Macaca fascicularis: one gene and its partners. The protein of the gene in region 2 interacts with the protein of the main gene of each other region in a pairwise test. Links are inferred from orthologs where the notes say so. Each region holds a gene or a part of one and is shown on either strand. Other genes may lie near its edges.

The links.
Region 1: the proteins of FHL2 (region 2) and ID3 interact in binary tests that used the Homo sapiens proteins (3 or more experiments, as listed by UniProt). The link is inferred for Macaca fascicularis from reciprocal best matches to the Homo sapiens genes FHL2 and ID3.
Region 3: the proteins of FHL2 (region 2) and GNG12 interact in binary tests that used the Homo sapiens proteins (3 or more experiments, as listed by UniProt). The link is inferred for Macaca fascicularis from reciprocal best matches to the Homo sapiens genes FHL2 and GNG12.

What each region holds. Positions count from the first base shown.
Region 1 is NC_088375.1:211,559,708-211,563,804, reverse strand, and holds ID3 (protein FAM219A), read right to left. Parts: upstream 2,607-4,097; 5' UTR 2,531-2,606; coding exon 2,231-2,530; intron 2,122-2,230; coding exon 2,062-2,121; 3' UTR 2,037-2,061; intron 1,594-2,036; exon of another isoform or gene 1,517-1,593; 3' UTR 1,033-1,516; downstream 1-1,032. UniProt on the Homo sapiens protein: Transcriptional regulator (lacking a basic DNA binding domain) which negatively regulates the basic helix-loop-helix (bHLH) transcription factors by forming heterodimers and inhibiting their DNA binding and transcriptional activity.
Region 2 is NC_088387.1:9,791,427-9,795,641, forward strand, and holds the end of FHL2 (four and a half LIM domains protein 2), read right to left. Parts: intron 2,936-4,215; coding exon 2,749-2,935; intron 904-2,748; coding exon 752-903; 3' UTR 295-751; downstream 1-294. UniProt on the Homo sapiens protein: May function as a molecular transmitter linking various signaling pathways to transcriptional regulation. Negatively regulates the transcriptional repressor E4F1 and may function in cell growth.
Region 3 is NC_088375.1:166,845,110-166,849,823, reverse strand, and holds the start of GNG12 (guanine nucleotide-binding protein G(I)/G(S)/G(O) subunit gamma-12), read right to left. Parts: upstream 3,333-4,714; 5' UTR 3,215-3,332; intron 1,987-3,214; exon of another isoform or gene 1,693-1,986; intron 157-1,692; 5' UTR 112-156; intron 1-111. UniProt on the Homo sapiens protein: Guanine nucleotide-binding proteins (G proteins) are involved as a modulator or transducer in various transmembrane signaling systems.

The DNA of each region.
Region 1 (4,097 bases), on a different chromosome or scaffold from region 2:
ATGAGATCATACCATAAACAGGAATCTCCAGTAAGGCCAGGCACCTGGTGAAGCCCACCTGGGGAGCCACCAGGGGTGTGGGGGAAGGCATGGGTTGGGATCTTGCTCTCTGCTCCACTTCCAGGCCTGGCCTCAAGGAATGGCCAGTCCCCAGCCCTGCTCCTGTTCACCACAGTCAAGTCACTGAAGTCACAGTTCAAATCCCATCTCTACCTCTCAAGGGCTGTGAAACCTAGTTCAGAAGCATTACCCACAGAAGTTCCCTTTCCCCATTTCTGAAATAGGGACAGGGATGCTTACAGAATAGGTTCCCAATGGAGGTGGTGTAGAAATACCAGCAGAAATGAGGACTGTGGAGTCTCTGCCTCACATTCCTTGTTCAGGGTCGGACTCTACAACCACCTAGTGTTAGAGAAGGGATCAGTATCAGTACTTCCCAACCAGCATCCAAATCTTTCTTATCCTTTTCAGGAGAGACCTCCTCTCTTTTTTTTTCAATTTTGGAAGCCCGCAAGGAAGCCAGCCCAGAGAGCAAAAAGGAAATGAAACCAGGCCCAGTTATCAGTTTATTCATTTCTGGAATTGGTCTATCAACCACCACCCATGTCTGGGCACCAGGTGAGGCAAACTTGAGGCTCTACTCTTACCACATCCCCTGCTAGAAAGACATAGTTTATAGTGACAATAAAGAGGAAAGCTACTGCTAGATCTCAGGGGACATGAAAACTCAGTTCTCAACTTGCCTGAACCCCCAACTTGCTGGGCGAGCTTGCACCAGTCTCTCTGGTTTCCCTTCATCCAGGAAATAACAAGGCAGAGTCCAGATCTCTTCTCTGCACCCATCACTCAATGGCCATGGGACTCCCATCATGAACCCTTCTCTCCCCACCCCATCCCCTCTCAGCTGGGCAGTTTTTCATCTCTCTCTCATGGGAGTGAGCAAGTTCACTTTCCCAAAGCTCCCTAAATGCAGCCATGTGAGAGAAAGCATCATTAGTACTTAGTGGAGACGGGTGTCATCATATACACAAGTGTTTAAAAATCGTTTATTATGCAAAATGTTAACTTTTATAAAAAGTTTAATATACATCGCATTGTTACAGAAAGTCACCTTCCTGTAAAAAAAGGTACAAAAACCTATATACTCTATTATAGAGTTCATAAATCAGGGCAACAGAACCTTTCTCCAAGGAGACCAGAAGACCAGCTCTGCCGCCGCCTTGGCATAGTTGGAGAGCAGCCACTCCTTCCACACCTCCAAGCTCTGAAAAGACAGTCCTTAAAACTTGGGGGTGGGGCAAGGGCAGGGTGATGTCGCCCAGCTGGTGGCCAGAGCTAGCTCTGGCTCTTCAGGCCACACAAGTTCACAGTCCTTCGCTCCAGAGCACCAGGTTCAGCCTCCAGGAAGGGGTTTGGTGAAGTGGGCAGGGCGAAGTTGGGGCCCATCCATGCCGTCTGGCTTCCGGCAGGAGAGGTTCCCGGGGTCCCAGGCCGAACGGGCGCCAGCACCTGCGTTCTGGGCGGGGGAGGAAAGAAGACCAAGGAGCAGTCAGTTTCCGCCGAGCGCGCCGAGGCGGGGGCCGTCCGCAGACTGGTCGGCGCCAGGGAGGAAACTTGGTCTCTACCTCCAGCTGATAACTCCGTGCCCCACGCTGCCCCCACCCAGTTGGCGCCAAAGACCACAGGCGGAGCTTGCACTACCCCTCCCACTTGGAACTGACACTAGCTGGGAGGGGGCTGCCGAAGACACAGCTCCCTATACAACTCCGATCAGAGACTTACTATTTAGTCGGACCCGCGTCTACTTTCCCAGACCCTCGGCCACAGCATGAGGGCAGGGGCGACGCCCGTTTAAGGCTGAAACGCACATCACATGGCAACTGACTCTGCCATTCATTTAACGCTACCATGGGCAAGTCACTTGTCCGTCTCTGGCCTCGATTTCCCTAAACCGAGGGAGTGGCAATCTTTAAAAAGGTCTGCCAACTCCAGAACTGGCCGTTTAAACCTCCCTCTCCAAGGGAGGAGATGCTCACCTGGAGGTGTCAGGACACGGCCGGGTCAGTGGCAGAAGCTCCTTTTGTCGTTGGAGATGACAAGTTCCGGAGCGAGTTCGGCTGTCTGATAAAAGAGAAAAAGAGGGAAGAGTTACACAAGGCAATCTGGCGCTCCAAGGGGCTGGCAGCATCCTTGCCTGAGTGTTCAGCCCTGCTCCGGCTTCCAGGCTTACCTGGATGGGGAGATGAGGGCTGTCCGGGGGTCCTGGGACTGGCTCGGCCAGGACCACCTGCAGGTCGAGGATGTAGTCGATGACGCGCTGTAGGATTTCCACCTGGCTAAGCTGAGTGCCTCTCGGGACTCCAGGTACCAGTTCCCGCAGGCGGGAGTAGCAGTGGTTCATGTCGTCCAGCAGGCTCAGCGGCTCCTCGGCTGCCGGGCCCTTGCCTCGGCCCCGGGCGATGGCCAGACTGCGTTCAGACAGACAGCACACTGCCTCGTAGCAGCCGCGCACCGGGCTCAGCGCCTTCATTGCTGGGGAGTGAGTCCAGAGGTGCCCAAAAGGGGAAGAAAACCCAAAGAAATCCCCTCACAGCGGCTTGCAATACGCACACGCTCGCGGCCGCGGGCACTTATAGAGCCCGCCTCGAAGGCACGCCCCTTTATTCAAAACGGCCCGCCTCGGCCACGCCCCTGCCGGCCCTGGGCGTTCACAGCCCGCTTAAATTGCAAACAGGCTTCCTCCGGCTGGTCTGACGCCGAAGACCGCGGAGCCGCGGATTCAAAGAATGAGGAAGCGCTGATACTGGGGCGAGGCGGGCCTCTTCGCCAGCAAGGATTTAAAAATCACTCAAAACCATTAACTTCAAGAATTTGCTTTTTCCTGGCAGCGCCCCAGATATTTGAGCTTCCCTGCCCCCTGCCAGTCCGCCTTTAGCCCAACACTGGTTCGAACCCACAGCTCCTCCGAGGTCATAAATCCCTGAACAGCAAAGAAGCTCCCCCCTCCCTTTTTTTAAGCAAAAGATTTTTCAAGGGAAACTTGTAAGGAATTAGTGCCGCCTTGTTCCCCAATTTGCTGTTCGTCTGACCTCCAGACTCACTGGCGTCAGGAATTATCTTGTGACCAGAGGGAAAAAAAATTAATTGCGGTGAAGCTAAGGTTACAATGAAGAAAACAGATTTGCGCTAGGCGCTGAGATTGCAGAAGGAGGAGGGAAAGGGGGTTTGAGCAAAGAACACTATTTATTTGAGCAACAGGGGAAAAGAAGAAAGCCTGAGCCCATGCTTTTTGCATGGGGAAAAAAGGAGCCTGGACCCTCTGCCCTGTGAACTCCATAACGAACCAAATATATGCACAGTTGTGCTTGGTGAGTTCAATTAGAATTTTAGACAAGGTTTTAAATGTGGAGGCACAGATGGGACAATTCCTATATAAACCTTTTTAAGAGCCCCCCACTGGGTCAGCAAATTTGTTAACTTCCCCTCTCCTTTCCACACACCTCTGTGCAGAAAACAATGGTAATTTCATTGCTCTATTGTCTATCCCTTTCTCCTATGGAAGGGCAGGCCACCTGGACTTGATTATTCTTAGCCCTGCTGAAGTAGCTCCAGCTCCATCTGAAAGACCAGGAAAGGAACCAGAGGGCCGGCAAACTAAGTCCTGTATTGCAACAGGACACTGTGCTCAGTATTCTTTCTTTGCTTGTCTTCTTGTCACCTCCTTAGACATTTGGGAACCTGCACTTCCAAGATGCTGCTTTCCATTTTGGAAATGACCCAGTGGGATTCCAATAGTTACTTTCCTAATGAACCATTGGTGAATATATATGGACTCCCTCCACATAAAACAGTGGTTCCTGCTTTCAAGCACCCCACAATTTGGGGAGAGAAGATTAACACAGAAAACAAGAGTTCAATAGTGTGTGGCACTGATTAACAGGACAAGGGGAGCTCAGCCAAAGAGAGTCTCAAAACAGTTAAAAAGGACACTGGGAATTGAGAGCCCTGGGTTCATAGTGCTAGCCCTGACAATAATTTGTCATGTAATCTTGAACAAGCCCAGGTACCCTGGCTTTAATTGCCTTGTGAGTAAAATA
Region 2 (4,215 bases):
CAGTGAGCCGAGATTGTGCCATCGCACTTTAGCCTAGGTAACAGAGTGAGACTCTGTCTCAAAAAAAAAAAAAAAAAAAAAATTGGGAGAGAAGGTAGCAAGGAAGAGGTGCCTGGTGTTGACTGAAGCTTCCTTTAAATAAAGGGTGTGATGTGATGCTATTCCAGTTGGCAATGCCCCAGGCCATTGGAACTGCACTTCATACAGTGACCATCGGACCATGCAATGACGTGTTACTTAGACTCAGTGCCTCAACCTTTAATCATGATTTCACACACTGTGCCTGGCAAAAGATTTTGTTCTGAATAACTTTATTGCAAGTCACATAATCTTGGTTTAGACTTGACACAACAGGAAGTTACAGAGCTGTAAATACCAATTGGTCATTACCTTACTGAGTTTAGAAAACTTTCAAGTTCGTGGCATACATTAATTGCACTTAAATAGGCAGTGAGAGAAAGATTTATAAAGACATCATTCAAAAGGATTTTTACATTTGGGTGTGCCTTACTCGATTACAAAAATTTCAAACCATCTTCCCACCTAGGGCCTAGGGCGAGTTTTCTCTTTCCCTGGGACTGAACTAGCACAAAGCACTAAAGGGTTGAAGCAAACGTGAGTATCACTGAAAAGCACTAGAAGAAAGTCTCGATGTGGCTGGAAGAAACCAGAAGGCAAGATTGCCTGGGTGAGAAAGAAAACATAAAAATCTGTGTGTGAGATCACAAGCAGCAACTTCTCCATGTTGACTTCAGATGTCTTTCCCACAGTCGGGGCACAGGATATCGTCCCTCTCTGTGAGGAAGCCACGCCCCACCAGTGAGAGGGAGCACTTCTTACAGTTAAAGCAGTCGTTATGCCACTGCCGTTCCTCAAAGGAGATGTATTTTGTGCCGCCAAGTCCTGTTAACAGAGAGAAAATAATAGCGGATGAAGAAAATTAGAATCAGGCAACTGGGACTGAAGAAGGAATTGTGGTTTGATCCATTTCAAAGTTTGGATTGTGTAATATGGATAGTGTGAACTTCTAGTGAATGGGTGCTGGGAATCCATGTATAAATCAGATTCTATGCACAGCCTGGAGGATCTCGTGAATATCAGAAGAGAGATAGAAACTGGTTCCAAAACAATGTGATAAGTGCATCAAAGAATGCTGACTATATTTGTTATGTGTTTTCCCACAAAATGAAACTCTGTGAGAACAGGAAGCAGATTTCTCTTATGCCTTCACTAGGTGCCTCATGTTGCCTGGTGCTCAAATTTTTATGATTTAATGATTGAAGCACCAAAGGGAGTGTAGAAGAGGAAAAAGTTAATCCTCCCTGGGGTGGCCAGGAAAAGCCTCACAGGTAAAGTGCGATGTGGGTAGGAATGAGGGGAGAGGGATATTGTTGCAGCAGAAAGATCCTGAGAAAGCTGCAGACAGATAGAATGGAATCAAATATTTAAGGTACATTGGTCCCTGATTATAATACAGTTGGTTTTACCTAGTGTTTTTTCTCAGTGCTACAATAACCGCAATTCACATTCATATCTAACGTTTTACATTTGGAAGTGCTTTTATATAGATTGTATCACTTTATAAAGCTTAATGTTATAAACATTTACCTCAACAGAAGTTACTGCTGAAAACAGCATTAAAGATGAATATGTTTGGCAAAAGATTGCATTTTCCCCCTAAATGATTCCAAGGGAAATGTGGTGCATAAAGGACCAGAAACAGACATTTTAACATAGGTAAACTGTAAATACTATGCTTTTCTTCATATTTTAATTTCACATGGAAATGTAATGAGCTCTGCATTATACGTGAGAGAACTGTTTTAGTGACCTGGGAAGGTGATTTAGCTCAGTTAGGTGAACTTCGTTCTAGGCCTGAGGGAAAAGAAAGTCAAGGACAAGCACACAGGGGGTGTATAGATGTGTTTCTGTAATGACACTGAAAAGCCACATAGGAAAGCCAGGCCACCAGGTACTCCATGTGTCTGCCACCTTCCTCTGATAGGGAAGAACCACTCCACTGAATGCAGTGGGATTGAAAATCCCACATCATAAAACTTCTCCTGTGTTATTATAGAAGACACACTTTTCTCTCCCCACCCAGTCACTAATTTGTGTAGTGATATGTGGTGACCATCTAAAGGACTTTAGTGTGAAGTCATCTGTTCTCCACACTGAATTTCTCCAGCCTGCTTAATAGTCTAGTCCAGAAGCCTGGTCTGCCGGCCAGCCAGATTTTGGGCTCTCACTTTGCCAGATCATTTGGGGGAATACAATATGAAAAACTCCTTAGAATGTACCCTCTGCCCTCATATAGCTGTGGCCTTGTGGCAGAAATTTCCCACTAAGATGCTTTGGAGTACAACCGTCCCCCTAAGATGCTAGGGGACACTTCTAAGAAAACAGTACAGCTGCTAAGCCTGAAAAGGCCAGTTTTTATTGTGCTTATGTGGTGTTACAGGCTCACAGGCTGCAGTTTTAGAGATAATCCAACCCAAAGCAGAAACTAAACCAGAGCACAGGCCATACGGTTGTGATCCGGTGGGCTGCAGAGGAAGTAATCATTACTTGCTGAAGCATAGCCAGTGCACCAAGGAGAGGAAAGCAGATAGGCAGAAAAGTCTGCTGTGTTCAGAGCCTTAGGGAGGTCTGGGAAGTTTAGGGATATAGACAGGGTCACATGCTAAAATGCTAGGCCTTGTTCAAGCTTCCAATCCCTCTTCGAAGTGGGGACCCCGGGACACTCACCGCTGATGGGGTTGGTACACCCAGCACACTTCTTGGCATACAAGTCACAGAAGCAGTTCAGGCAGTAGGCAAAGTCATCGCGAGCCGTGAAGCGCTGCCCAGACAGCTGCTTCCTGCAGGCGGTGCACACAAAGCACTCCTTGTGCCAGGGCTGCTCCCGGTAAGTGACCCCTCCCGTGGTGATGGGCTGCAGGGATGAGTGGGAGAGTTAGTGTGGTCTCTCTGCTTGCAAGACATCTTCAGTCTCACTACTGCCACTGGACAATGCAAGATCCTCATTCAGAAAACGTCCAGTTTGTTAAACATCACCATGAAGCTGCTTTACAAACCTCACAGTCACTTGTTACCCTCGCCACACGCTTTCATTCCAGTGTCTTAGGCCCTGGCTTTCCCATTAGTGAAACTGGAGCTTGGGGGTTGCCCTCAGCCCTTCCCAGGGATGCTGGAGATCTAAGGCACAGGGCACCTCAGTGGCGTTGCCACCTTCGCGAGCAGGGAAGCAGCACAGTGGAGGGGTCGGGATTGAAGACAGCATCAAGGAGACGTGGGCTTGAATCCTAATCCTACTCCTTACCAGACCTGTGGCTGGGAGCAGGTCATAATAAAGATCTCTGCACCTCAGTTTTCTCATCCAGGAAGTGAGGGTGATGATGTTAAATAGGCAAGTTGATGGGGAGTCCTTACTTAGAAGCCTGGCAGGGCCGGTGGCTCATGCCTGTAATCTCAGGACTTTGGGAGGCCGAGGCAGGTGGATCACTTGAGGTCAGGAGTTCAAGACCAGCCTGGCCAACATGGCGAAACCCCATCTCTACTAAAAATACAAAACATTAGCTGGGTGTGGTGGTGCACCTGTAATCCCAGCTACTCAGGAGGCTGAGGCAGGAGAATCGCTTGAACCCTGGAGACGAAGGTTGCGGTGAGCCAAGATCATGCCACTGCACTCCAGCCTGGGCAACAGAGTAAGACTCTGTCTCAAAAACAAAACAAAAACCCTGGCAAGTGGTAACCTCTCCAATGCCACTCACGAGCCTGTCTCTCCAGCCACTTATGGTGAAAGAAGGAAAAGGCTTAAAGGACAGCTGGGACTGGCACCTGCTGATGCCACAAGAAGATATGGGCATCTTGGAAGTTTTGGGAAAAATCAGCCAGATGCCTTCATTCTCACCCGTCTTGTGGTCTTAGAACATCTGTGAGGTGAAGCTGCAAAGCCACACAAGGTGGAACGGCCATCAGTACCTCAATTTTACCTGGTATTTTTCTCCAAATGTTGCATCTCACATTCTGTTTAAAAATGCGTGCGTGGTGGAGCTGAGTAAGCTATCAAAGGAGTGTAGGTGGCCTCAGCTTGGCAAACGAAGGCCATGGAAGATGGAGTGCAAGCACCTCACAATCACGCTTTTTTGCTTTTTATTTTTTGAACATTTCAGTATCATCCAGTAATTCCTTTGGTCTTTACATAAAGCTTGT
Region 3 (4,714 bases), on a different chromosome or scaffold from region 2:
CACCACCATGCCCAGTTTATTTTGTATTTTTAGTAGAGACGGGGGAGGGGGGGGCGTTCTCCATGTTGGTCAGGCTGGTCTCAAACTCCCAACCTCAGGTGATCTACCCACCTCGGACTCCCAAAGTGTTGGGATTACAGGTGTGAGCCACTGCGCCTGGCATGATAAAGACATTTTAAAAATCTTTTAGATTTTAGGAAGTGAGTCAACAATGTGATGAGTAGAGTCCCTGAATTAACTGAACACCCAATCTCATGAAAATTTACAAATAAAACAACCACTCACAATCAGCCTAACACTTCTTAGGGCTTATCTGTTGGCCTTGGACATCAGTACATGCAAAAGTAAATAACAAGATACCCTTGGGTCACGTGTTTTCATACTTTAATTAAGAATTATACTTGGTTAAAGATGAATACTTCAGTTCCTGGCTACTTTCCTACCTAGGGCTAATAAACACAACTATTTGAAATATAAATTATCTTTAAATGTAAAGGATAATGCAATGTTTCTGTCAAAATTACTATGCAACTGTAACTTTGGCACTAAAAGCATATTAAAACTATTAATCCTTTAATCATAATTATTCATATTGTTGTGGTAGAAACATCACACACACACACATACCAGTTACTTCTGTGGAATTTGAAATTGCTCTATCTAGCATTTTCGGAAGGTTCAAGCTACCACCTTGCAATTTATCCAGTAGCCTGCTGCTTGAACAAGCTAGATTAATATCTAATAATTTTGACCATGTACTGTGTGTTAAGTCCAGTTTAAGTGTTTTCCAAAGACTGTTTCACATACTTTAAAGCCCTACAGATAGAGACCATTATTATCCCCATCTTATAAATCAGACTGAAAAGGTTAAATAGCTAATATTTTCATCTAAGTCTGTCTGACTCCAAAGCCAACACCCCAAATCACTGTTAAACAAGCTTCTCTTCCAAGTTAGGGCTCAGAAAAATTTACTTGACTTTCACAACTTGCCTTTCTAGGTTAAGCTTAAGCTGACATAAAACTCCAAATTAAAGCAAAACACAATAAATCACTTAATTCTAAATTTGATTTTTTTTCCTGCTAGACAGAAGTTTTCAACAATTAAAAAAAAAACTAATCTGATATTGGCTAACCACTTCCTCGAGTGTTCTGACCATGAAGCCCTTTGCTCTCACACTTTAATAAACCACCGATATTCTCTAACAAGTGACAACACAAATCCACAAATCTAATTGTTAGAGAGCTTTCAAGTAAGATTGGAGCTTTCTGGACAGGAAATTTTTATAATACTATTTTTTTCAGGCTCTTGTGAAACACAGATTCACATTTTCATATATTTCTACACAAATCTCAGTGCTGTGTGCCCTGTTGGGTGTTCGATATCTAGTAAATTACGTGAGTTAAATACAGCAAAAATAGGACTGCATTATTTATAAGGTCTAACGACGCAGTAGACTTTTAAGCATTTTTTGGATTTAAACCAGGGCTTTACGGCGCTGGTTAACTATTAGAGAAGGCAAAGGGACTGAACATTTTATCTGAAAGTCCTTTTATCACTTAAGACTCTGTAAAATGTTTGATTACTTTAAAAATTGTGTGTGTGAATCATGTTAGTTTACTAGAAAAGGGGCTTGCTAGTACATATAATTGGGTTAAAAAAAAAAACAAAAACAAAACAAAACAGCTCCTTACTTGAATGTGATTGTTTTGGCAATAGTAAAATTCAATCCCGTCGTTCTAGCGCTGCCTGCCTTCCTGGTTCTCCTAGGTGAGGGCCGCCATCCTGCGATAATTTACTTTGAGAGCTGAGAAGCGCTGGCAAGGGTGCAGTCTGGTGACTAGCACTTTTAAAAACAAAGCCAAACTCCGCTTTTAAAATAGAGAAGGCACAGACGCAGACCCTGCCTCTGACGACATCCAAAAGATTCATTATAGACAGCCTATTCAGGCGAAGCTACAACCGCCCCAGGAAATATAAACTGTGTCGGCAAAGACAGCAGGGGGGGAGAGGAAGTAACTGATGGGAAGGAAGCTAATCATGTGAAGTTTGTCCAACTCCACATGGTCTAATAAATTCCCGTTTGTTTCCGCTGGGAGCAGCCATTAAACGCGCCCTGACACGTGGGCGCAGGAACCTCCCTTCTACCTCTGGCGTTCAGAGATTTCCTTCTCTACCCACTTGTTTGTATACAACCACGCCCGGCAGGATGACCACCAGATGACCGGCCGCGGCAGTGCCTCCACTCAGCCCCAGCTGGGCAAAGTTTCACTCCACCGCGGCGACGTGAACAAGAATCACGGCTTCCTTACCGAGAGTTATGAATGATTTAAGCCAAGTTTACAGTACACACAAAGCGAGGGACGAGTGAGTGACGGCAGGCGCTGACAGGGTTTTAAAGTTAGCTTTTATTGATACGCCCTAATTACAATGAAAAACAGAAGTCACCCTGACCCACGGGATAACTGTCGGGGCAATAATTTTTTTAAGAAAAAATCACGCAAGACTGAGCCTCAACCTCCCCCTTATCACCTGCAAATATAGTCTGCAGAAGGGCAACCTAGGGACCCCACTCGGGGGTCCCTCGCAGGGTGCGTCATATGGGCTCTCCCCTCTGCGACCCGCTATTTCCCTGCTAGACCCCCAGCGCCCAGTGGATTCCAACGCTGCGCTCCCGCCGGCTGGTCCCGGGAGGTAGAAAGCAGGCAGAGGGGCGTGGCGTCTCTGTCGCCCCCAGATTCCAGCCCTCCTCCAACGCCTGGCACCACCACAAGCCAGGGCTGGGAACACTGGGGGCCTCCCAATCGGGCGCGGGGCGCACGGCCGCAGGCTGGCGAGGAGGCAAGCGAGCTCGCGGGGAGACCTTTCCTTCCACCCCTAGCCTAGCCCCAGCCCCAGCCGTGGGGGCACCGGCTCCCCGCGACCTCGGGTTGCCGCCCGTCGAGGGCGACCGCGCGGTTTCTGCCTCTGGGTCTGGGTGTCCCTTGCCCCCTTCCTCCGCCTCTCCCCGGTCTCCGGCGCCCAGCGCCCCGACCAGTCCCCGCCCTACAGGACACTCTTCCCTCCTTCCTTCCTTCCTCTGCTCCCTCCCTCCATCTCGCTTCCCAGCACCCGGGACTCGGAGGCGGCCCCCGAACTCGCTGGCCGACGCCCCGCGCCGCGCCCGGACCCCGCGGGGACCCGACTCACCACCCGCGCCCGCCGCTTGGTACTCACCCGCCTGCTGGTGCGCTGCCCCGCCGTCGCCGCCGGGACTCGGTCTCTAAGGGCTCCTGGAGACGGCTCCGACCTCTCCTCCTCCTCCTCCTGCTCCTCCGGGCGCCGGCTCCGCCTCGCTGGGGTGGGCGGGGCGGCGGCGGCCCCAGGCTCCTTCCTCCGCGCCGGGCCCTGCCTCCCGCCCAGACACCCTGGCTATGTTGCCCCGGGCCGCGGAGCCCGCGTTGTGGCCCGGCTGGAGGAGGGGAGAGGCCTGGCCTGGGGAAGCTCGGTGGACGTCTGGCCGTCTTTGGCCATCCCTCTTCCCCTTATTCTCATGGAGGACCTGAAGTTCTAGGAGTTGAGGGCTCCCACTCTACGACCCGCTCCTCCGCGGGGCCGCCCTGACGCCTCGCAAGTTTCCTTCGCGTGCGAACGCCTCGCCAGCCCCTGTGCCAGCCGTCCCCAGGGCTGTGAGGATGAGCGCTGCCAAACCCCTACACAAAAGTTTGGCTCTGCCCCAGACACTATGGAGGAAAACACTCACAGTAACATTTAAAGGGCCCTGGGGCCACGGAGAGACGTTTCACAGAAAGTGGAGGTATAACTGCGGATTATTGAATTTGTAGTACATCCACCCACCATTAGCTTCCCGTCCATCTGCCCCAACCCCCTGAAATTTGTTTCCGAATGTCCAGTACCTGGCAGAGTTCTGCCCAATGAATTAATCGGATTTGGTTGGTCTTTTCTGGAATGGTTCAAGGTCGGGTAAATGGAGGAGCCATTTCTGCTTCCACAGATTTCGTACTATTCCTTGGGCCATTCGACAAACATTACCGAGCACCCGCTGTGTACCAAGCGCGATGCTAAAGGTGATGGGAGAGGTACAAGGATGAATCAGACAGGGGGCTTGCCTTCTTGGAGTCCAGAAAGAGTAAAGAAGTTGAATGTTCAGAAAACCACTCAGCGGACTTCTGGAATATTCCTAGGTAACCGCTTTCTTGTTTGACAGGGTGGAGAGAAAAGAGGTGAGGCCAAAGTAGGTCACTTAGAACCAGTGTGGGCAGAGTCCGCACTTGAAATGGAGTCTGAAAGCATTGGTGAGGGATGTCTGTGTATTGAGTTTCACCAACTGAGGACAAGTGGGCCCTGGGGAATCTGGAAACTAGGGACTGCAGTCAGGGCATTATATTCCCTCTTGCTTTCCTTCTGACCCCTAAGCAAGTATCAGGCTTAGTGAAATGATTTGCACATGTAGAAGAGGTGTCACAGGTAGAGTCGGTGTATGAATGCATGCCTTGCCCCAGGGGTGTGATCTTAGCAAGCTGCAGATGAGGGTGGTTTTGGGGGTGCAAGTCACAGGCTACCAGAGAGGTCTTTATTTCCTGTTCTGTTCAGCATTAGGAAATGCTTGACTGATTCACAGGTACTAACAGTTCAAATGATACATCTGAAACAGAACAGCATGACACCACAGGGACTGAGAGGGTGGCATACTGGAGTTTGTATTTTTTGGCCACA